2 linked regions of the Coturnix japonica genome follow. The protein of the gene in region 1 purifies or fractionates together with the protein of each later gene. This does not show direct contact. Links are inferred from orthologs where the notes say so. Each region holds a gene or a part of one and is shown on either strand. Other genes may lie near its edges.

Region 1 (10,354 bases):
AGGGTTGGTCTGGAGGTTGAGCTCCAAAGGGGGCTTGGGGGTCTGCCCTGCCTGCTACCTTGCACAGGGCTGCAGGAACCTTGCTGCCTTCCCCTGTGGGTCACATCCATGCTCAGCCCTCTCCCCTCTCCTGCAGGCCAAGGAGAGCATTGAGCAGCTGGTTTACCTGTGCCAAACCGACAAGGAGCCTGTGCGGGAGGCAGCCAAGCAGAGCCTGATGCTGTGTGGTGAGTGTCCTGCATCACCCCTGCTCACAGCTCCCGGAGGGGCATCACCCCACGATACATTGCCCAAGGGAGAAAGGGACCTGGGCCAGTCCCTGCCTGCCCCATGCACCAGCTCATGGTGCCTGAACTCTATGGGGTGAGAGCGGTGGTGGGCAGCGAGGATTCCTGCAAGCACAGCCCTAAGCACGGGTGTTATTTATTATTTGCTAGATGGCACTGAGAGAACCATCTGAGTGGGTTTCTAGGCCTCCAGATCGCGGCAGCTGCTGCACAGGTTGGGACATGTGAGCTGTCCTCATCCCTCAGCCCCACTCCTGCTGCTTTGCTCACAAATGTCTCTGTCTTAGAGCCTGTCAGCCACGTCACTTCTTGGAGTCTATGTGTCTTGGTTGTTTGTAGCCCCACGGCAATGCTGTGCACACACGTGTCCTGCGTCCCGTGTCACCAGCTCTGCTGGGGATGGCTGCTGTGTGCAGATCTGTGTGCAGGGCTGCTGGGCAGAGATCTCAGCATGGAGTGTGCAGCCCTGTGTGTACGTGGGGGTGTTGGGAAGCTCTCAGGGTCGCCATGTAGGTGCATGCAGAAGTGCATAGCTGGTTGGGGTGTCACAACATCATCCCCAAGCCTGGCCCACTTGCTTCATCTCCTGGACTGGGAGCTCTGTGGGCTCTTAGGGATGGGATCTGTCCAAGGGTGCACTAAGGAGAACACAAGAATCAGATCCCCATGTCCAGCCCCACCCTGCCCACTGACCTCCCTCCCAGTGCCACATCTCCATGGTTCTTGAACTCCTCCACAGCCAGGCGCTCCCCCACCTCCCCAGGCAGCTGTGCCAACACATTACCAACAGCTCTGTGGCTCAGCACTGTCAGGCATTAGCATCATTTTTGCTGTGAGGCCAGGGATGGGCAGGGAACAGAGCTTCTGCCCTTTGCTTCACTGACTATGGCAATTGCTTGCAGGGGAAGATGGCAAATCAGCACACCGGCGACTGGAGGAGACCCTGGACAGCCTCCCCCGGATCTTTGCACCAGCCAGCATGGCCAGCACAGCTTTCTGAGATGCCGCACGGAGCCACCTGCTATCCCTTGAGGACAAAGGCACTGCTGGGCTGCACACGGGCTCACAGACTGGGCCCAGCCACCGGCCCTGCTCACAGCAGCACCGCAGCATCACGCTCGCCGCGGCCGCACACTGCCTTATGGAGCACCGCTTCCCCTGCCCCAAGCACCAGCCACAAGGGGTGCCACACATACACCCCTGTGCGAGGAGGGGCTCGCTGCACACCCCAACCCTTCGACTGCTATTGAAAACACACAGGGAACCCACCCTTCGTGCTACAGCTGCTGGGATCGGAGCGGCAGGGAGACGCACTGGATTCCTCCGCCTCTTGCCTTCCAGTTGCTTGGGGACACGTGCCCTGTCCTGGAAGGACCAACACTTTGGAAGCGATGCTGTTTCTTTCCAGAAGTCGCCTGAGCTGGGAAGGAACTGCTGCCCCTTTTGCCACACCTGGAAGTCCGCAGGACTTAAATAAAATGAGATATGAGATAATATTAATATATTCTGCTGGCGTTTCTTCTTTCCAGCTCCGCATGCTCCTGTCCCTCCCCATGTTGGAGCACAGTGAGGCACAGCCCCAGCCCAGAGCCCTTCCCCTCTGCTGGGGAGGGCAGGGGCAGGAGGAGCGACAGAGGGACGGACAGATGGACACTGCCACCTTTTCCTTGTTGGTTTATTTTTTATTTACTGTTTTTTTTGTTTGCAGGAGGAAAGCAACAAATTCTTTTTCTATAATGTCTCTATAAATCTATATATATAATGTAATTACAGAGAATGACTAATTTTGATTTTAAAAGCAGAAATAAAAGCAAACCTTTAAAAGAGCGTTGGTGTTGCGTGGGTGCCGAGGGGCAGGGAGCTGGATTGACCAAGTTGGATGTTTCTCAGCTGAGGATCAACCTTCTGCTTTTACCAACAGTGAGACAGGCATCTCTCGTAGCAGTGAAAGGAGTTCTTGCTTCCCCTGAGCTCTCTGAGTTATCAAGATGCTGCAGAGCATAAGAAGGTGCCATGCTGCAATGGGCAGAGCAGGGTCACATACTCAGCACAGGGAAGTCCTGACCTGCCCCAGAGGAAGGAGGCAATGGCTGGAAGTGAGAGCAGTAGGACTGTGTATGTCTCATCACAGTGATACTGAGCCACAGCGGATCAAGGAATTATGGAGTTGAGCTGGGAAGGGACCTCTGAACACAGTGAACACAGCCTTCCATTCCCCCCTGCTCAATATGGTGTTAGCTTGAGCAGGCTGCTCAGGGCCATGTCGTGTTGGGTTTTGACTGTTTCTGAGGATGGAGATGACAGAATGCTGCTATACCACCTGTTTCAGTATTCAGCCACCCTCACAGGAAAAAAGCATTTCTTTAGTTTAAATGGAAATCCTGCATTTTATTATCACTATGGCTCTCATTCTGTCACTGGGTGCCGCTAAGGAGAATCTGCCTGTCTTCTTTACCCACCACTAAGTGTTGAGAGACGTGGATAAGAACCACTCCAAGCCTTCATTCTTCCAGCCTGTTTTTTATATGGCAGATGCTCCAATCTCTTAATCACCTTAGCAGCCCTCACAGTTCTGAGTAGGATAAAGCAGCAAAATGCCCCATCAGCCAGCAGAAGCAAGGACCCCTGGGGCCAGCAGCATCTCAGTGGGTTTCTTAGCAAAGCCCAGCAGCTCGCAGCCTCCAGGACCTCTGTTCTTACTAAAGGTCCTTTGTCAGGCTGCCTCAGACTCCATGTTCTTATCCTGCTGGCTCTGCCTGCCTGCGCTGCCCTCACAGGGGACCCAGAGGTACCAAGGAGCTCAGGCTCTTGGGTTGTTCTGTTTTGGTAGGGGGCTGCAAGTGGTGGTGCATTGTAAGAGCATGCAAAAGGGATGACAGCATACCATGGCACACAGGGTGCCCCAGATGGGACATCTGCTTCCTTGTAAGGAGATAGGAAGCACCATGTCAGCAGCAAGGGCACCCAGGCATCTCTCATTACTGGGGTGTGCTTTAGTACCATAAGCCTGCGAGGCCAGGAGGCCACTCAGGGCAGCTCTTTTCAGCTCTCTGCCACCCAGGTCTGTGCTGGGTACCTGGGACCCAGAGTGAGGATAGGGGTCTTGGCTGGCACATGTTGGGTAATAGCTGTGGACAGGAATACCCTGCAGGTAATAAGTGGCCCAGACTTCTATGTTTGGCGTTCTTTCTTTTTCCCTTGACTAACCTCTGGAAATAAGAACAGCTCAGTGCTCCAGCAGCTTATGTGGGTGTTCTTGCTCTGCCAAAGCCTGGCCCCATCCCTGCAGCAGAATACCATCTTCCAGGATAAGCTGTACCTTGGCTGCAGAGACTGGAGCAGGGAAGCAGCCTTCTGTCAGGGCAGGCAGGGTGCTGCACGTCAGGACAAAATGACTCTGCTCCTGGAACTCATAGGAATAACCTCATTTGTGTGGCTTTAACATCATCTAGGGGAAAAAAAATAAATATATATACATATATGAGTCAATTTAGGAATGCATTGCCCAGCCCCTTGTTCTGAATGAGCTTGCAATAGCATCACCAAGGATGCACTGGTGATGGGAAAGGGAGGACTGAACTTTTCCCTCCAGCCCTTATGCAGGAATATGCACTGTGCAGCAGCATTCTTGCTGTTTCAAAGGAGACAGTGCTCCAGCACCATGTCTGTCAGCCCAATGTGTCAGCACTTCAAACCCCTCTCACGGATGTGCTGCTCAGCAGCACCAATGACTGTTGCAGCCACTTGCTTTTTTGCAGGAGCTGCAGCCCGTGGGAAGGTGTCTGTGTCATGGTTACATTACTCACATGCTCTGAGAAGCTTTTTCCTTCACCCCATTTACTGCTGTTTCCCTTGTAAATAAAGGAGTGCACAGCCTTTTTGTACCAGCAAATAACAACCAGCCAACACATCCTCTCTTTGGGGAGCATTAGGGCTGGCAAAGCTCAGGACATCACATTCAGTGACCCCAAGAACACCAAGCAGAACAACCCCAAGGAGCCGCTGCCTCTTTGGGGCATCACAAGCTGTGACCTGAGTCTCAAGCCTGAGAAATGAGCCAGATTTTGATGCCTGAGCAACATCTGCCTCTGGGTGTGTAACGTGGAGGGTGATGTTCAGGATGCTGAATGCATTGCAAAGGATCCCATGCGAATCAGCTCCAAAGCGCCTGTGATGGAGGGACCCGAGGCCCAGGGTTCAGCCGTACCCAGCACACAGCGGTGGATGCTTTCAGGCATCTCTGCCAAGCAAAGGCCAGGAGAACGTGTCTCTGCTTCCTCACACAAAGGACATGCAGCACCTGCCATAGGACAGCTCCCAGCAAGAGGCAGATGGAACATGAGCAGCCAGTTACTCCCGACGTGGTGTGTGTGAGTACTTAGAGCCCTTGCAGGGCAGGGCCGTGCTGGGTCCCAACCCATCTCGCTCTGTGGAGAACTCCGCACTCCCTCAGGGCGGGGCGGGGCGCGGCCTCCCCTCAGCGCGACGTGACCCCGCCCCCACGTGACGCACGCACGCACACACGCACGCGAGGTGACGCCGCGGCCGCAGGCCCGCGTTTGAAGTTGGCGCGCGCCCCGCCCCGCCCCTCCCTCCCATCATGCCCCGCGCGCTGCCGCTTCCCCGCGCGCGCCGTCCCCTCCCCCCCCCTTTCCTCTCCCTCCCCCCCCCGCTCCAGCCGGCGGTCCGCGGCAGCCGCGCTCGCGCATGCGCACTCCGCCCCGCCCGCCGCCATTTTGTGTCCGAAGCGACTGTGGAGCGATTAAACCTCGAGCTGGTGCTGGGCGCGAGCGGCCGGGCCGCGGCGGGGCGCGACGGGAAAGGCGGCTCGGCGGGGCCCGGGCCGGGCTGCGGGGCGGCGTGCGGCGGGGCCTCGGCGCCGGGAGCGGAGCCCGGCGGGGGCGCGGGCGCAGGTAAGCGGTGAGCGGGGGGTTTGCAGTCGCTTTCTCCGGCCTCTAGGTGTCACGATGGGGCTCCGCGCCGGCTGGGGCCCCGCAGCGGCCGCCGCCGGGGAAGCAGGGGGCTTTGTCTCCCTCTATCGTCCCCAGCGCGGCCCGCGCCTGCCCGCTGCCACCGCCGCCGTTCCCCACAGCGCGGCGCTGGGCCGCGGCCCGCCCGGCCCCTGGCGGCCGCCTATTTTCCTCCCTTTGTCTCCCCGCCGCCCCACCGGGGCCCGCCGGCCGCCCCCCTCCCGCCACGCGAACCGCCGCCCCCCCCCTCCCCCCCCTTCCCTCCTTTCTCCTTCCCTTTCCCTCCCTCCTCCCCTCCCTCCCCGCCCCGCGTTCCGCGCCGGCCCGCTCCCCCCGTTCGGCCGCTCTTGCTTTTCCCCCCCCCATACCCCCGCCCCCGCTTCCTCCTCCCCATCTCCCACCTCCTCGGGGCTCTCTCTTTTCTCCCTCCTCCAGCTCCTCGTGGGGTTTCGGAGCCGGAGCGGAGCGTTGCGGCGGTTCTGTTGGCCCGGCCCGGCCCGCAGCCCCTTCCTGCCGCCACCTCGCTGCGCTGCCGCCGTGTGCGCTGCGGAGGGAGAGGCGCTGCGAGGCGCAGAGCGGGACTCGAGCTCCCTCTGCAAGGCAGGCTGAGCAGCGCCATGCAGCGCCGGCCCTGGCACGGCTGGGGGGCGCCCGCTCTCGCCTCGCTGCCCTCCCGCTTCCCCCCACCCCCCCCCTCCTTGCAGGCCTCGGCTCCGAGCTAGAAAACGTACTGCAAAATGTGATCCTCCACCCCCCCCAACCCGTGGATATCGCTGCTTTGAATCGTACAAAAGGGGCGATAGCACACAATTCTGCGCCCTGCATCAACTTGATGTTTCCTGCCGTGCTTAGAGCTCCAGATGCCATCAGTCTGCCTTCATTTTGTTCCTTGTGGCCGTCCCCAGGACTCAGCCCTTAGCACTGCTGCTGAGAGCACACCCGCTTTCCTGTTGCTGACTTCCTATTTTTTACCCGGTCTTTTGCTCCCCCCCCCCCCCCCCCCCCCCTCCACTCCCTGTTTGCTGCCAGTTGCTAATGAACCCCAGAGGTGTTGTTAACAGTGCCTGAGCTGCTCCGTGTGTACAGCCTTGAGATTTGGTTCCGTGCAGGAAGTGTTTAAGTGCTTTCTCAGGTCCCACGCTTTGCTCGTGCTGAGCCTGTTGAACTGGTGGCTGTCTTTTGGGCATGAGGAGTGGCTCTGAATTCTTCCTTCAGTCCCATTTTACCTTCTATGTTAGTGCAGGAGAAACCATGAGGACCAAAGAAGGTCTTGAGCATATGAACCAAGCAATGCTTTCTTTTTTTTCCATAGGATGGTCGTTTTTCTTACTTTCATTTTGCTTTTCTCTTTGGACTGCGTTTTGCAAGTCCTTTAAGGGCTGCACTCCTGTTTTGGAGAGCTCCTTGAATGCCTTTGGATGGGGGCTGTCACCCCAATGGCAGGTATGGCAGCACCTCCAAACTATCAGACACCATAATGTAAGAAGGACTCTGTCTCTATGTCCCCTTGCTGCCCTATGCAATTTCAGTTGGATACAGTTATTCTCTTATTAGCGGCACAGCTGTCCAGGGAGGTGGTGGAGCCCCCAACCTTAAGGTGGTCCAGAACCACGGGGATATGGCACTGAGGGACGTGATGCTGTCAGTGTGGATGGATTGAGGTTGGACGTGGTGATCTTAGTGGTCTTTTTGAACCTTAATGATTCTATGTTTCTAACTCAGTATTAATATCTTCTGTATTTATAAGGAAGATGCAGCGAATGATTTCCTTAACGCTCACGAAGCTCCTCGCGGGATATTTTTGAGGCACGACGTCAGAGTCAAAAGGTGCAGAATTGCACTTGCTCTACTCCCCGGTGGCCCTGCAGCTGAACTAACATGGCTCAGGGAGTTTGCTGAGCTGTCACTCCAGTGCTGAGCCTGCTGCAGCTCCTGCCCACGCCGTCAGCAAGGGAAAGAGCTAATCCAGGCACAGCTCCTGGTGCTGGCAGCCTGTGCCTTGGCTGTGAGCTGGGATGTGTGTTGCTACCAGGCTTTGTGGCTGCGGGTCAGTAGCTACCTGATACTTCAGTCTGTAAAGGCCAGAAGCTGACCTGTGTTGTTTGTATACTATTAATCACTTAAGAATTTCTTCCCTGTAGTGCTTAATATCCTGCTTTTCTCCTGATGGTTTTGGAAGGGAGGTGGGGAGTGTTGCTGGGCTCTTTGCTCTTTGAAGAGCCAGCGTGTTCCTTGCCCTTATGCTCTGTACCTGGGCAGATTGATCACTGCTTGTGGGATCGAGTTGTGCTCAGCTCTTCCTGCTCTGTTTTTGGTTTGTTGGTTATTTCTGAGGGGAAAAGAAAAAAACCAAAAGCACACAAAGCCATAACCTGTAATTTGGGCAGGGAGAGAACAAGGCCAAAGTTACTGTTGCTGTGCAAATGAATGAGGGGCATCACAAGTACTGGAGAAACCAGCACTGAACATTGTATAAAGGAAGAAAAAGCAAATTCCTTCCATGCTGCTGCTTTCTCCTCTGTGTGTCTGCAAGGGGGGTTGTTCCCTGGCCTTGGATCTGGCAGAGGTGTAGCTGAGAGCCCACCAACAAGCCATGCATTGAGGTTCAGGGCTTCTCCTGCCCTTATTATAGTCCTAAAAGCTTTGCACACAAATTGATTCTACCTTTGGCTACTTTTGCTTCTCTTACGTAGTGTTTAGTAGAGATTGAATGCTCGAGAGAGCAGCAGAGCATTGGGATCGCTGTGTGCTCTATAAATCCTTAACCATGAGGAGCAGCCACAACCACAGCAGCATGTGGTGTCTCAGCTGCTGGGCTTCTGCTTTTGCTGTGGAGCTGGAAGCAAGCACAGTAGTTGTGTTAATGTACTGACCTGTGCTCAGCTGCAGGCCCTGTTGGTTGCTCTGGAAGGTTTGGATGCCTTGCACAGCCTGTTGGACCAACCCTTGGTGCTTCAGTACAGCTTCTACCTAATGCTGCATGAGCTCTGCACATAGATATGTGAATATCCCTTTTTATATTGGTCAAAATTATATTTACTGCTCATGTAAATGGCTCAGATCACTGCTCTTGTGGCTTGTTTTTTGGGGCTGAAACTTAGAACCCTTCCTATATGGACTGTAACTCAAGATGTTGCTTTCTTTTTGTACTGAAGGATGCTCTGGTTTCAGTTAAAGCACTGCTGCTCCTCCTCCTCCTCTCCAATTATCTGTCACTCTTCAGCAGTTGTATGGCGTGTGCTTATTCTAGGCATGCTTAATAAGTAAACCAAATAGCTGCTGGGCTCAGTGATCTCAGTATTTTTTTGGTTAACAGAAATAACCTTGGAAAGGAGAGTAGAGTACACACGAGGTGGGTGGGGAGTTGTATTTTTCAGCTCGTGTTAATGTTCAGGTACACTGAACAATCCAATCTCGATGTCTAATGCAAACAGAAGTCTTCTTTCAGTATAAAGACTTGGGAGAGATCAAATCTTAATGTCTTTCCAATATGGTTGTTAGCGGGTGAAAGCACAGAAATAGCACAGAGGCTGTTCTCAAGAAATGTGCCATTAACATGCATCACTCGGGAGACGTGTGATAGAAAAGGATCTTGAAGAGCTGTTCTTCAGCTGTCCCTATAGAGGACTGTGTATAACGCTGTCTCTTGGCTGTGTGTAGCTGCACTCTTTACATACAGGTCTGGTTTTAGGGACCCTCCCAGGTTTTACTCCTTTAGGATATGTTTGCTGCCCTGGGAGTGCAGGCAGGGACTGCAGTGCAGCTGGGTGCTGCCCTTGCTGCCCACATACATCCTGTTTTGTCACTGAGTTGTCCCAATCCCCTTCATTCCCTGCTGCAAAAACAAACCCCTAACATTTCTAAAGCCACTCAAGTGTAAAGGCCACATAAAGAGGCTGTGAACCAAGCTCAGTTAATACTTAAAGTCTTATTTTACCTCTTCTTTTCTTCCCAGAATCTAGAAATTTATGTTGAGTGCATCAGATTCTAACAAAATGGAAGCCAAAGCACAGCGTGACATATACCTTTGTCTGTATTAATATGCGTGAAGATTAGAAGCTTGTATGTCTCTGAAACATCAGCAGGTAAAGCAGCTCTGTGAGCCAGAGGAGAAGTAACATCTGTTATATAACTGGACCGAGTTACTTTACCTTAATTGGGAAGTCACAGCTATGCTTATTATCCCTAGAGGTATTTAGAAATAGGTTGCTGTTCTGAAAGCTTCTATCTTAAAAAGCGGAGGGATTTCAGATGTATGTTGGGATGGGGATGGCCAGCACATTCCTTCCCACTTGGATCACTGGAGCATCCCTGGTGGTACCAATGAAGGGCTACTGGGTAGGTGAAGCACTTTGGAATAGCAGAGAAAGTGCAGGAAATTGGAGGAAATGCTGATGTGTTGGTATAAAAGGAGGCAAACTTAACCAAAGCTTGGTAAGTTCAACTTTGGTAAACCTGTCTTGAGAACCTCACAGAATGAAAACCAGTGCATAAAATTAGTGACTGCTGTCCAGTTTGGGTTAGTTGAGGAATAGTCCTTGTCACTGCTTTCCATTACTGATTCTTGTTAGTACAGAATGTCCAGTTTGAAACCTACGTGTGATAAAATGGTGATTGATGGCGTGGCAGCCAGCGATAAGGCAGTGAGGCAGAGCTGAAACATTCCAAGTGTGTGTCAAAGCTGCAGCGTGTAAAACTGCCCATCTGGGAGCGTGGCAATGTGGTGAGTTTGAATTGAGACCAATGGCATCCTAGAACACTGTGTCGGAGCTGTGTTTTGGGAGTCAAGTGGATAAACAGCTTAAATGTGGATTTCCAAGGTGATGCTGCAGCAGAGAAGCTAATGTCGTTGTCAGGTGCTTTAATGGAGTGAGCAGAGCTGGCATGCTTACCTGTGAGGTGAAGTCACTACCAAGACACAGAATATAGCTCTGCTGTCAGAACTTAGAGCAAAAATAAGGGAACAAATACTGAACTGCAAGGGGAAATAGACTCCCAGGGAGCTGGGAAATGGTGCTGTGCAGTGGAATGGTGCTTCACTGTGCAAAACCCAGAGGTGGTTTGATCAGTCCTCTGATATCCCTGCTACTGTCCTGC
Region 2 (10,604 bases), about 15 Mb from region 1:
GAGATGTGTTATTCAGATTGGCACGCCTAGGAGTTTGCCTGCCTGAAGCCCTTCTCTGTAAGGAAGGGCCCCCCTTTGGCACCCCAGGGTGTGTTCTGTCCCATGCACGTCCCCTCAAAGAGCCCTGACACAGGGGAGAGGTGGAGGGGTGGAAATGACAAGAATGACAGCTTCTTGGCCTACCACCAGCAGCAAATTCACTCTGAATGACCTATTGTATAAGCTGAACTGTTGTTAATTACTCTCCACAAAATGTGGCTGCATTTATAATGGGTGAGAGAATTGGGTCTTATTTTTCTGTAGACATCCTGTATGTTTGTTAGGTAGTCCCCGTGATTTTGGAACGTGGTTAAGTAAACTTCAACTGGCTTACATCCTCCAAAGCCACTCTTAAGTCCCAAGATTTCACTGGCCTGCTGTTCAGGGTAACTTCCTTCTTAATTCTTCTTCTAAAAGTGAGGAAAGCTTCTCTGCAGCTGTGAAGGCAGAGCCTTCAGTATGGGAATGGCAACTGCAGTTTGTGCCTGTGTAGGTTAGTGAGCAAGCCCCACTGCTTTTAACAAACATTCCTGGGAGGGCGGACCTCTTTGTGTTCTCTGCTGCTGTAGCTGAGAGCTCTTTTGTTCTCCAAACTGATGGAGCTGCTCTGTTTTGCAGGTTTCCATAGCCCCTCGAACAAATGCAGCTCTTGGATTTGCTCAGATCCTTCCAAGAGAGCAATACCTCTTCACCAGGGAGCAGCTGCTAGAGAGGATGTGCATGGCACTTGGAGGGAGAGTGTCTGAAGCCATCACATTTAACAAAGTCACCACAGGTGAGAGGACAGACCCTGACACGAGCAAGGGGAGGTCGTACTAAGAGTCTGAACTTTCATACTTGTTGCTCTGTCCAAGAGTAATGTGAAATGGGGGTTTCCCATCATTGGGAATGGGAAGGAGAAATTTCACAGTGCTTGTTTTAATCTCGGACTTGGGACTGTGAGCGTGAAGGCCTCTTATTGTGGATTCCAACTGTGTAGTCTCAGACTTGTCCCAAAGCCTGAGGCTACAGATGCAATTACACAGTGAGACTCTTGGCAGGTGGAAGAGCCTGGAGATTTCTGTGCCTTAGTTCCAACCATTTATAGCTAAACAGGATAAGAGTGGAGCAGTGGCAGGTAAGCAGTCCATATGAGCTAGCTACCAGTATATCACTCATTGTCCTGCAATGCACACAGTGAGGTAAAGTGCTCACATTCATGGATTCCTGCAGGTCCTCTAATCTCTTGACTGGTGGATTGTGTGTCTGTGCTGGACATACTCCTCTTGCTCTCATCTCAGACCTGCTGTACCTTCCTTCTGTCTGTCTCGCCCAGGAGCGCAGGATGACCTGAAGAGGGTGACCAAGATAGCCTACTCCATGGTGAAGCAGTATGGGATGGTGCCCAGCATCGGGCAGATCTCCTTTCCGGATGGGGACAGCACTGTTGGAATTGGCCGTCGCCCTTTCAGCCAGAGCCTTCAGCAGATGATGGACCACGTAAGGCTGCTCCTGGTCACCTGTTCCTCTTTGTTCTTTACTTTCTGTCCTCATTGAAAATTGCATGGAACTTGTACCCAAATGCTTTGCATTTTCTTTTTTGTTCAGCCATTAAGTAGTAAAATTCAACAACTGAGCACTGAGATACTCTGTTAGCCTGGTACTGTTCTGTGTATGAGGACTGCTCAGCGAGGCATTAAGAACAAAGTCACACACAGCTGTGAGTTCAGCCCAGCAGCACTGCGCTGCCTGGAGCTGCCGTGAGTGGTTGTGAAATACAGTCTGTTCTATCCATTGCAGTGTGAAAGCTGCAGTCTTGATTCTTTTGTGGACAAGACCCTGGAGAGCTTGTGGGAGGTATAGATGTGACTTGGAAAGGGGGAGAAATGCTCTGCAGAGTGGGGAGAAAGAATAACTTGAAGGAGATGGAGCTGGGGGGGGAGCATTGTTATGGAACTGAGGACAGATAACCAGGGAAGGAAAGGTTCTGCTGTGTGGAGGTCTCTCCTCCTTTTTTGTCCACTTGCAATACAAATCTCTCTTCTTATCTTCTAGGAAGCAAAAGTGCTGGTGGCTCAGGCCTACAGACGCACGGAAAAACTCCTATTGGACAACCGAGATAAGTTGCAAACGGTAAGCTGAAGTTAGGTGGAGTTCCTTCAACTGTTGGTTTTGGCCTTGATACTTTCTGTGCTCTGTAGCTTGGTTGTAGCAGTGTCTCTGTGGTCCTAGAATGCCTTGTAATGGGGATTCCAGGGCTTGTTTTGGGACTGCTGAATTGGTAGACTGGTGCTTTCCAGGTACCTCCAGGCAATTTTCACCTGCCAGCTCCTTGATACTCAATATATGAAGGAGGCCTTATTGCAGAAGTAGAGCTTTGTCTCCTCTGCTTTGTGCCTGGGGAGTCCCCTGGCCACTCAGCTCCCTTCCAGGATCTCTTTTTAAACAACAGCAGAAAAACAGCCACTTCCACCTACCCACCAGCAGGCTTCCTTGTGCATAGTAAGGTGTCCTGAACTTGTTTGCTTCGGCACCCTGCTGTTGCCCATATCACAGTTCTGTCCCCAGGGCAGTGCCCCAGCAGTGCTCTGAAGGCAGGCATTGTTGGGGGCTGTCCTCTCTGCAGGCCTCCTCTGTTCTGATGCTTTCATTTAACAACAATCAGATGTTTGCTAGAGGCTCATCACAGGAAAAACTTTTAAGTTAAGCCAAAATATCTACAGAGCGTTGCATTTGCCAGGTCAGTGTGTCACATCTTGTCAGCAGAACTGAGCAATTCCATGTTTGAGGGCCACCTGCTGCTCAAGCGTGGTCCTTCTGCTGGCAGAGGGACCAGAGAATTTAACTTTCTGGGGAGGACCTTCTAATGACCTTCAGCCTGCAAGAACAAAACAGCTCTTTGTTATCTCTGTGTCATGTTATTTATGTACAGAGGAGTATGAGTCTGGCTCCAGTCTCAATGCCTGTTACTGTGGCATCTTAGGCAAGGCCACAGGTGCAGCAACAGTGGCAGTAAGGGCACTTCTCTAATTGCCCCTGGTGTTCCGACTCTCCAAATCATTCCCTAGAGCAGCGTACTTTATTGCCTCCAGTTACACTGGGTGTTTCTGGCAAAAAAAGCCCCACTCTTGTGAGAGATGCTGGTGTCTGCAGAGCTTTGTTCTGCTCCAGGTCACGCTGTCTGTGGTGTGGTAGCCGGGCTCTGCTCCTCGTGGGCTCCAGCATGTGCTGTGTCCAGATGTTAAGGTCCAAGTTGAGCTGATAGGGTGAGCTCAGATCAGTTTTCAAACCTCTGTGCCTTATTATGCCTTATGTACTCTTTCTAGCTGTCTAATGCCCTGCTGGAGAAAGAAGTGATAAATTACGATGACATTGAAGCTTTGATTGGACCTCCACCCTATGGGCCAAAGAAAATGATAGCACCCCAGAGCTGGCTTCAAGCAGAGAGAGACAAGCAAGACACTAGAGATGAAGAAATGCCCCAGCAGCCACCAAACCATGAGGAGGAGGAAGAGCCGCGCCTGAGGCCGGTGTGAAGCCCTGTCCTGGTGCAGAATGGGAGGACTCCAGAAGCGTCTTTTGAACACAGCTTCTCAGCTCTGGAATCAAAAATAAAGAGCAGGGCATCTCTGTGATGCTGTTTCCTTGAAATTAAAGGAATGGCCACGTTTAGTCTTGTAACACAAGCTTTAACCTTCAGGGAGGAGAACTTAGGATTCTGAAATTGATTCTCAGCAGGATATTAGTGATTAGGAGTTGGGTAAGAAGCTGGAAAGAACCTGTTTACACAGGCAGTGTATGCCTTCTTGTAGGATGTGGGCTTTCTTTTCCCTGATTGATAGTTTCTGTTCCATTTTTACATCAAGGGTTTCAGAAGCAGAGAGTGAGGGAAGCTGTGTTCATAACCCAGCAGAACCTGATGGTGAGTTGTTCGGAGCCAGCACTGCAGGGAATGGCTCCATTGTGAGCTGGCAGAGCAGCGCTGCTTGTTTGCAGGTGTGAGTCCTGGGTGCATCTACACAAACCAGGCAGTTCTGCTGCCTGTCCTCACGGCATTGCAGAGCACGCAGTGATGGAATGGTGGGCTGCTGTTCAGCAGGGGAAGCACTGAAGTGATTCTTGTTGCCTGCTGTGCTCCGGCTGGGTCAGGCCCTTCAGGAAGGGTTCTTGAATGGAGCTGTTCCATAAAGAACTGACTGAGCTGGAGCTGAGCCCTCCCTTGGGGGCAGGGAGGAGGGTGACCTGCATGGCACTGAACACAGGGTGCCAACATGGCCCTGCTGGGTGCCCATGGTTTGGACACTGCCCTGTTGAGCAGAAACAGCTGGGGATGCTATTACACCGAATTGTTGCCCATGTTGTTGTTGTTGTTGTTTCTTTCAGGCCTCTGTTTCCTTACAGGAGCTCATTCTTTGTATGTGTGTAGGAGCTGGTTCTATTTGTAACACGATGCCTGAGCTCCGGGCTGCCTCAATAAACGCTGTGACACACGGATGCCGGTTGTGGCTGTGCTGATGGCGCTGTGCCGCTGCTCCCCGTGCTGCCGTGCCACCTGGCGGTACTGCCCTGCAGGGTGAGGCTGCAGCGGGTCCAACCTCCGCCAAGGTTGGGTGGTGGCTGCGCTCAGTGCCGTGTGTGCTGCTCTGGGTGGGAGCCGTGGCAGCAGCACCGAACCCGCTGCCCACTCGCGGCGTGGGGTGTGCGGTGCGGTAAGCAGTGCGCGGCCCCTTTAAGATCGCCGCCATCTTTACTTCGGGTGCGGTGAAGCCGCTTCCGGACATTTCCGGAAGCGTGGTTCTCATTGGGCCGTACGTACGGCTCTCCCTATTGGCCGCTGCTACCACACTTCCGGCGTGCGCCGCGCCGCCGCTTCCTTTTCCGGTCGGCCATTTTCCTCGGCGGGAGGTGAGTGTCGCCGTGTCCGCGCTCGGGCCGGGCTCCATCCGCCGCCATCCGCCGCCATCCGCCCACCGGGGGCCGCGCCGGGCCCGGCAGCGCTCGGGGGCCGCTCGTAGCTCTGCTCCGGAACCGGGGCGGCTCGGGGGGATGGGGCAGGGCCGTGAGGGGGGCTCCGATGGGGGCTGGGCCTGGGCCTGCTCCGGGCCTTCCCCGGCGGCCTCGTGTAGCGCTGCCCGTGTCCTTAGGCCGCAGCAGCCATGGCGCCCAGCCGCAATGGGATGATCCTGAAGCCGCACTTCCATAAGGACTGGCAGCGGAGAGTGGCCACATGGTTCAACCAGCCCGCGCGGAAGATCCGCAGGTGAGAGCAGAGCCGAGCTGGGCCGGGTGGGGCCGGGTCCCTCCTCGCGTTGTTCGGCCGCAGCCAAGTGATGAAACGTCTCCGGAATCGCTGTACGGCATTGATGAGTCCTCGAACCCTTCATGGCTGATGGCTGCGGTCGGGGTTGTCCGCAGGGCTCTGTCCCTGCAGGGGGACACAGCGATCTGATCCCTGCCATCATTCCGTGTCTCTGACCGCTGTTCCCCCGCAGGAGGAAGGCCCGCCAGGCTAAAGCTCGTCGCATCGCCCCCCGCCCCGCGGCTGGGCCCATCCGACCCATCGTCAGGTGCCCGACCATCAGATACCACAAAAAAGTTCGTGCTGGAAGAGGCTTCAGCCTGGAGGAGCTTAAAGTGAGTACGGAGAGCTGATGGTCACTGATAAGACTCACCATGGACCTTCAATTGGGTTCCATCTGAATGATGGTTGAGTCCAGCTCTGTGTCTGCCTGCGTTCAGCAGCTGTGGGTTGGGGGAGGAGTGATGTGTGTCAGCTAAAGGCTGGTTTGAAGAGGGAATGTTGCTGTGCCTCTGATTGGGCTGGCAGGTACCACGGTTTGTTTAATATCACATTCAGACACAGCTTGAATTGAGGCTCCTGAACTTCACTTTAAATAAGCAAGCAGCTTCCGGTCACCTTAAGGGCTCCAGCACCATCACCTGCTTCACACTGTGTGCTGTGCTCCCTGCAGTACATGCTGGGCAGCCTCCCCTGGTGTCTTGTTTAGAATCTAATAAGGACACAGCAGTGAAATTGGTGCATTAAAGCAGTAAGATTGGGCTTTTAACGCCGAGTTCCTCGTTACTTTGCTGTTCTTTAATCTCGGGTAATGCTGATGGCAGCACAAAATGGCACAGGGCTGTATGCAGTTAAACACAAAGCAGGGCTGTCACTTAGCATCACCAAAGTGTTTCTGTAATGCAGCGCTCAGCATTCTGTGCACCACGGTTATCCTTGTGCTGACTAAATCACTTAATCCAGTGCCTGTCAGAGCCTCAGCACCCCACTGTATCTGCGCAGGAAACCCATCTGTGTGTGGATGGCTGCCTTGCCTTGTGATCAGCCCCACGTCATGGTTGCTCTGTCCTTCCCTCCAGCAGCACAGTGGTAACTGCTGGCTCTGCTCTCTCTTTAGCTGGCCGGCATTAACAAAAGGTTTGCTCGGACAATTGGAATCTCCGTGGATCCCAGGAGAAGAAACAAATCCACAGAGTCACTGCAGGCCAACGTGCAGCGGCTGAAGGAATATCGCTCCAAGCTTATCCTCTTCCCAAGGAAACCGTCTGCACCTAAGAAGGGAGACAGCTCAGTAAGTACCTGCCTGTTAGAAAGGTGTGACAGCCCGTTTCTGCTCACTGCTGCAGAGGTTTGGCCGTCAGCCTGGCTGTGTTCTTGAATACTTGCAGTAACACAGACCCATAGCAGCAGGGCATGTTGGTTCCATACACGTACACAGGGGGTGACTGCCCGCAGCTCAGGGCTGGGGGGGCTGGAGCTGGGCTCTCCCTGGTGTCTGTGCTGTGGAATGGCTGGGGGTGCTGCACTGCTGGAGCTGCAGCTCAGACGTGGAGCTCCCCAGGTGCTCGGTTTTGGCCAGCTCACTATTGGTTTGTGAAGCTGGAACAAAAAGGTTGTGCGGGGTGTCTGCTCTGCTGCAGTTATAACAATGGGAAGAGTGGGGAAGGCAGAAGCTTCTCAGTTGAGCGAAAGGAGCAATTAGAGGAAATCTCTAGAAGGTTGTTGCTGTTGACATACAAAAATGGTTTTCATTAAGATCTCACCGAGAGCCAGAGTAGAGTTGGCTTTTCTCATGTTCTTGGCTGTTGTTACAAGCACACGCTTCCCACGGGGAGCTGCAAGTAACGGAGCCAGGCAGCGTGTTCCAGGCAGAGCATTGCAGCCGCCTTTAGTCCTACAGAGCCCTGTGTGCCCTGAGCTGCTTCCCATGGTGCTGCCTGCAGGGCTGGAGCTCGCTTGGGCCAGAGCAGGGAAAGGGGGGGGTCTGACAGAGGGTCTGAGCTCATACATGTCCTGCTTGGACGTGGAGATTGAGCTGAGTGTGTCAGCTTAGTAAATCCACAGGGTGCTGCTCTATGGGGGGACTTAAGGGGCTGCAGGGAGGGCAGACCTGAGCATTATGAATTCAGAGCTCCTCCTGAACCTCGGGTGCTGATGCACAAGATGGATCTGTTCCCCACTGCTGTGGGTAGCTCACAGAACGGCTGCCAAACGCGTTCTATTCTCGTTTAAAATTGGCTGGCAACACAAACCTGTGCCTTAGTGAATTGAGCGCAGCTCTCAGGTTGTCTGCTGCAATCTGTTTCTGATACCGGCAGATAAAGATACTTGTCTATGGAGCGGTGTTTCAAACCTATTTACTCGAAGCTCCCGATAGCTGATTTATTCATGCCTGTCACTGCCGAGCTCGCAGCAGAAGCTGGAATTGGCTGTGGAAGGAATTGCTGAAGGAAAGCTAAAAATGGCCCAGGACACAACAGCATTTCAGCTGGCAGCTCCTGAACGGCCACGGCTGCCCTGGCCAGGACGGTGTGCGGGTCTTTCATCTCAGTGCTGCACAGAGATGTTACATTCCTGTTCCTGATGTGTTTTTCCCCCCTCCCTCTTGTTTTGCAGCCTGAAGAACTCAAGATGGCAACTCAGCTCACCGGGCCGGTTATGCCCATCAGGAACGTAAGTGTCACCCTCAGTCTTGTTCTCTGTGGGGTGTAACAGAGCAGCTCCCCACAACCAGAGTCCTGTGGGGCTGGGGCAGCTCCTGCCTGCCGTGCCCATAGCCGTGCCCATTGCCATCCCCATTGCTATCCCCATTGCCGTGCTGTGTGTCCGTGGTGCAGCTCATTGGGCTGTTGCTGAGCTCTGAGGCTGATGCTGGCAGCTGCTGTTGCTGCACCACAGCCCTGGCTGCCGCTTCATTTTGCCTTTGGTTGTGCCTTGTTGTTATTCCCTGGTATTCTCTGCTCGTCTTGTTGACAAATAGGAGCTGGTGGAGACTTGGTGCCTGCTGCAGTGATGATAAGGGCAGGGCCTGGGGGGTGGGCACACAGCCTGTGTTCTTAGCAGCATCTTGGAGCCGGTGGTAGAAATATAACGAGATTAATTGTGTTGGGCTTTGAGCGCGGCCCCTTTGGCAGCCCCTGATGTGTGTGCTGACTGTCGGGCTCTCTCTGCCATTAGGTTTTCAAACGGGAGAAGGCCCGTGTTATCACCGAGGAGGAGAAGAACTTCAAGGCCTTTGCCAGCCTGCGCATGGCCCGGGCCAACGCGCGGCTCTTTGGGATCCGAGCCAAACGAGCCAAAGAAGCAGCAGAGCAGGACGTGGAGAAGAAGAAATGAGCTGTACTCAGAGCTGTCAATAAAGAGACACGGAAACAGAGCGGTGTGTGGCGTCCTATGAGGGGTGCAGGTGTTGCTGCTCCAGAGCTCAGCCCTCCTGCTGTGTGGGTATCGTCCCTGGGGGCAGCTCTGCAGGGACGGGCACTGTGGGGTCTGGGGGGGTTTGTTCTCTGTGCTGGGTGTCGGCTCGGGGCTGTGTTTGCTGCCTCCTGCCGCTGGGTGGAGCCGGGGCCGGTGTTCGGTGCTGTGGGCGCTGCCGGGACGCTCCCTATTGCGGTTCTGCTCCTGGTGCTGCTCTGCCGGGCCTTTATGGAGCCCCTAAAGCTCAGAACAGCCGCCCCGGGGCTCGGTGCAGCTCCGTGCCAGCCGTGTCCCTCGGTGCTGACCGTGCTCAGTCACGGTGCCGTGGGCTCCTTCCCGCTCCTTGGAGCCCTGGGCTGGCTCAGCAGTTCTAAGCTTTGCTGCCCAGCCTCGTGATTGAGCCGTCAGCTCATGAGCTGAGCGATGGCACAAACCTGGGCTGGCAGCAGCGTTTGGTGCAGGTATCGCTGTGTGCTGCCGGAGGGAGGGTGGCCTATTTCTGCCAGGCAATGTGGGATTAGCTCCCGCAGCCCAGGCCCCGCAGTGCCCTCCTGCTCGTTTAGCCCTCTCTGCACTTTAATCCCCTCTGAATATGGGCTAATTATATCACCCTTCCTAAAGCTGCGCTGACGGCGCTGCAGTGCTGGGGGCTGTGGGGGCTGCAGGGGGGCATCAGACCGGGGGGCCATGGGGCTGTGGCACCGGGTGACCCGGCATCACTGGGATCCTTCTGTCTGTCCCTGTAGTGGGGGGATCACGGGGATACGGGGCTACATGGGATGGGCCTTGGGCACCCTGTGGGGAATAGGGATGGACCGTGGGGTGTGTGGGGTCAGAGCGGTGATGGGGAGGAGGCTGGGGGCGATGCTGGAGCTGTGGCACTGCTGCAGTGCTGCCAGCTGTGCCAGCTGTGCCGGGGACCCCTGGCAGCCTCGTTGCCTGCGGGCGGGCTGCGCTCCGGTGCCGGCAGCGAGGTGGTTAACGGAGATTGTAGTCTCCCTCTTAGGGCTCCGCTCCCGAATTGCAGCTTGAGTCAGTTGTGTGGAGGTGGCAGCGGCGCAGCTCGGCTGGCACGCGGCTCCGGCTGCCACACACCGGCCGCAGCATCATCCGGCAGCGCTGAGCCCAGCACCAGGTAAGGGGTGGGCAGGGGGGGCACTGGGATCCCTTTGCTGGGGGATGCGCGGCCGTGCTGGGATGGTGCCCAGCAGAGCCAGGAGTGAGAGCTGTGAGCCGGGCAGGGCATGGCCCTGTGTGACTTGGGGGGAAACTTGGGCTGGGTGGCAGCAGCTCCTGGCATGGGATGGGGCAGCGGGCAGAAGCTGGGTGCTGTAATTGGGGACAATGGGGATGAGATGGAGGAGATGCAGTGAGGGAAGGATGGGGATGGAGTGGGGATGGGGCGGCAGATCCGGTGCTGCAGCACCACCAGGCTGAGCCCTGCCAGCATCCAGGTGGAGGGTGGCTGTGTGTCCCCAGCGGGGCAGAATCCCCCCATCACCCTGGTACACCAGCAGTTCTGCTCAGTGACAGCACGATGTGGCCAACTGTGCTTCACCCCACGCTGTGCTGACACCTCGCAGGGTTCCACGGGACCAGCAGGACCGGCCGCTTCACCTCAAGGAGAGTCTGTGTGCTCCCCAGCACCCGCCCTGCCCCAGGAGCCGGCTGATCCCCAGCAGCACCCAGCCTCCATCCCACACCTGGCACTGCGGGGCCCCCCGCCTTGGGATGACAAGCAGCTGCCCCATGTGCTGACAGCGGGGCTGTAGGGCTGCCCGGTTCCCCACATGCCTCTGTCCCACGGAGCCGCCTGCCCCCCATCTCGCCCGGCTGCCTCCCGCGCTGCAGCCACCATGGGCGAAGCGCC

The links.
Region 2: the proteins of CTCF (region 1) and RPL13 purify together in Homo sapiens (affinity purification with mass spectrometry; 3 studies listed by BioGRID and IntAct, with this or other methods). This does not show direct contact. The link is inferred for Coturnix japonica from reciprocal best matches to the Homo sapiens genes CTCF and RPL13.

The regions. Positions count from the first base shown.
Region 1 is NC_029526.1:1,460,296-1,470,649, reverse strand, and holds the start of CTCF (transcriptional repressor CTCF), read left to right. Parts: upstream 1-5,151; 5' UTR 5,152-5,200; intron 5,201-5,658; exon of another isoform or gene 5,659-5,895; intron 5,896-7,016; exon of another isoform or gene 7,017-7,084; intron 7,085-10,354. Other genes in the region: RIPOR1 (rho family-interacting cell polarization regulator 1), read left to right, coding at 137-227, 1,190-1,287.
Region 2 is NC_029526.1:16,691,644-16,702,247, forward strand, and holds RPL13 (60S ribosomal protein L13), read left to right. Parts: upstream 1-4,796; 5' UTR 4,797-4,923; intron 4,924-5,162; 5' UTR 5,163-5,174; coding exon 5,175-5,278; intron 5,279-5,346; exon of another isoform or gene 5,347-5,428; intron 5,429-5,510; coding exon 5,511-5,652; intron 5,653-6,434; coding exon 6,435-6,608; intron 6,609-7,933; coding exon 7,934-7,990; intron 7,991-8,494; coding exon 8,495-8,653; 3' UTR 8,654-8,693; downstream 8,694-10,604. Other genes in the region: SPG7 (paraplegin), read left to right, coding at 658-814, 1,355-1,518, 2,074-2,151, 3,345-3,554; CPNE7 (copine-7), read left to right, coding at 10,525-10,604. UniProt on the Homo sapiens protein: Component of the ribosome, a large ribonucleoprotein complex responsible for the synthesis of proteins in the cell.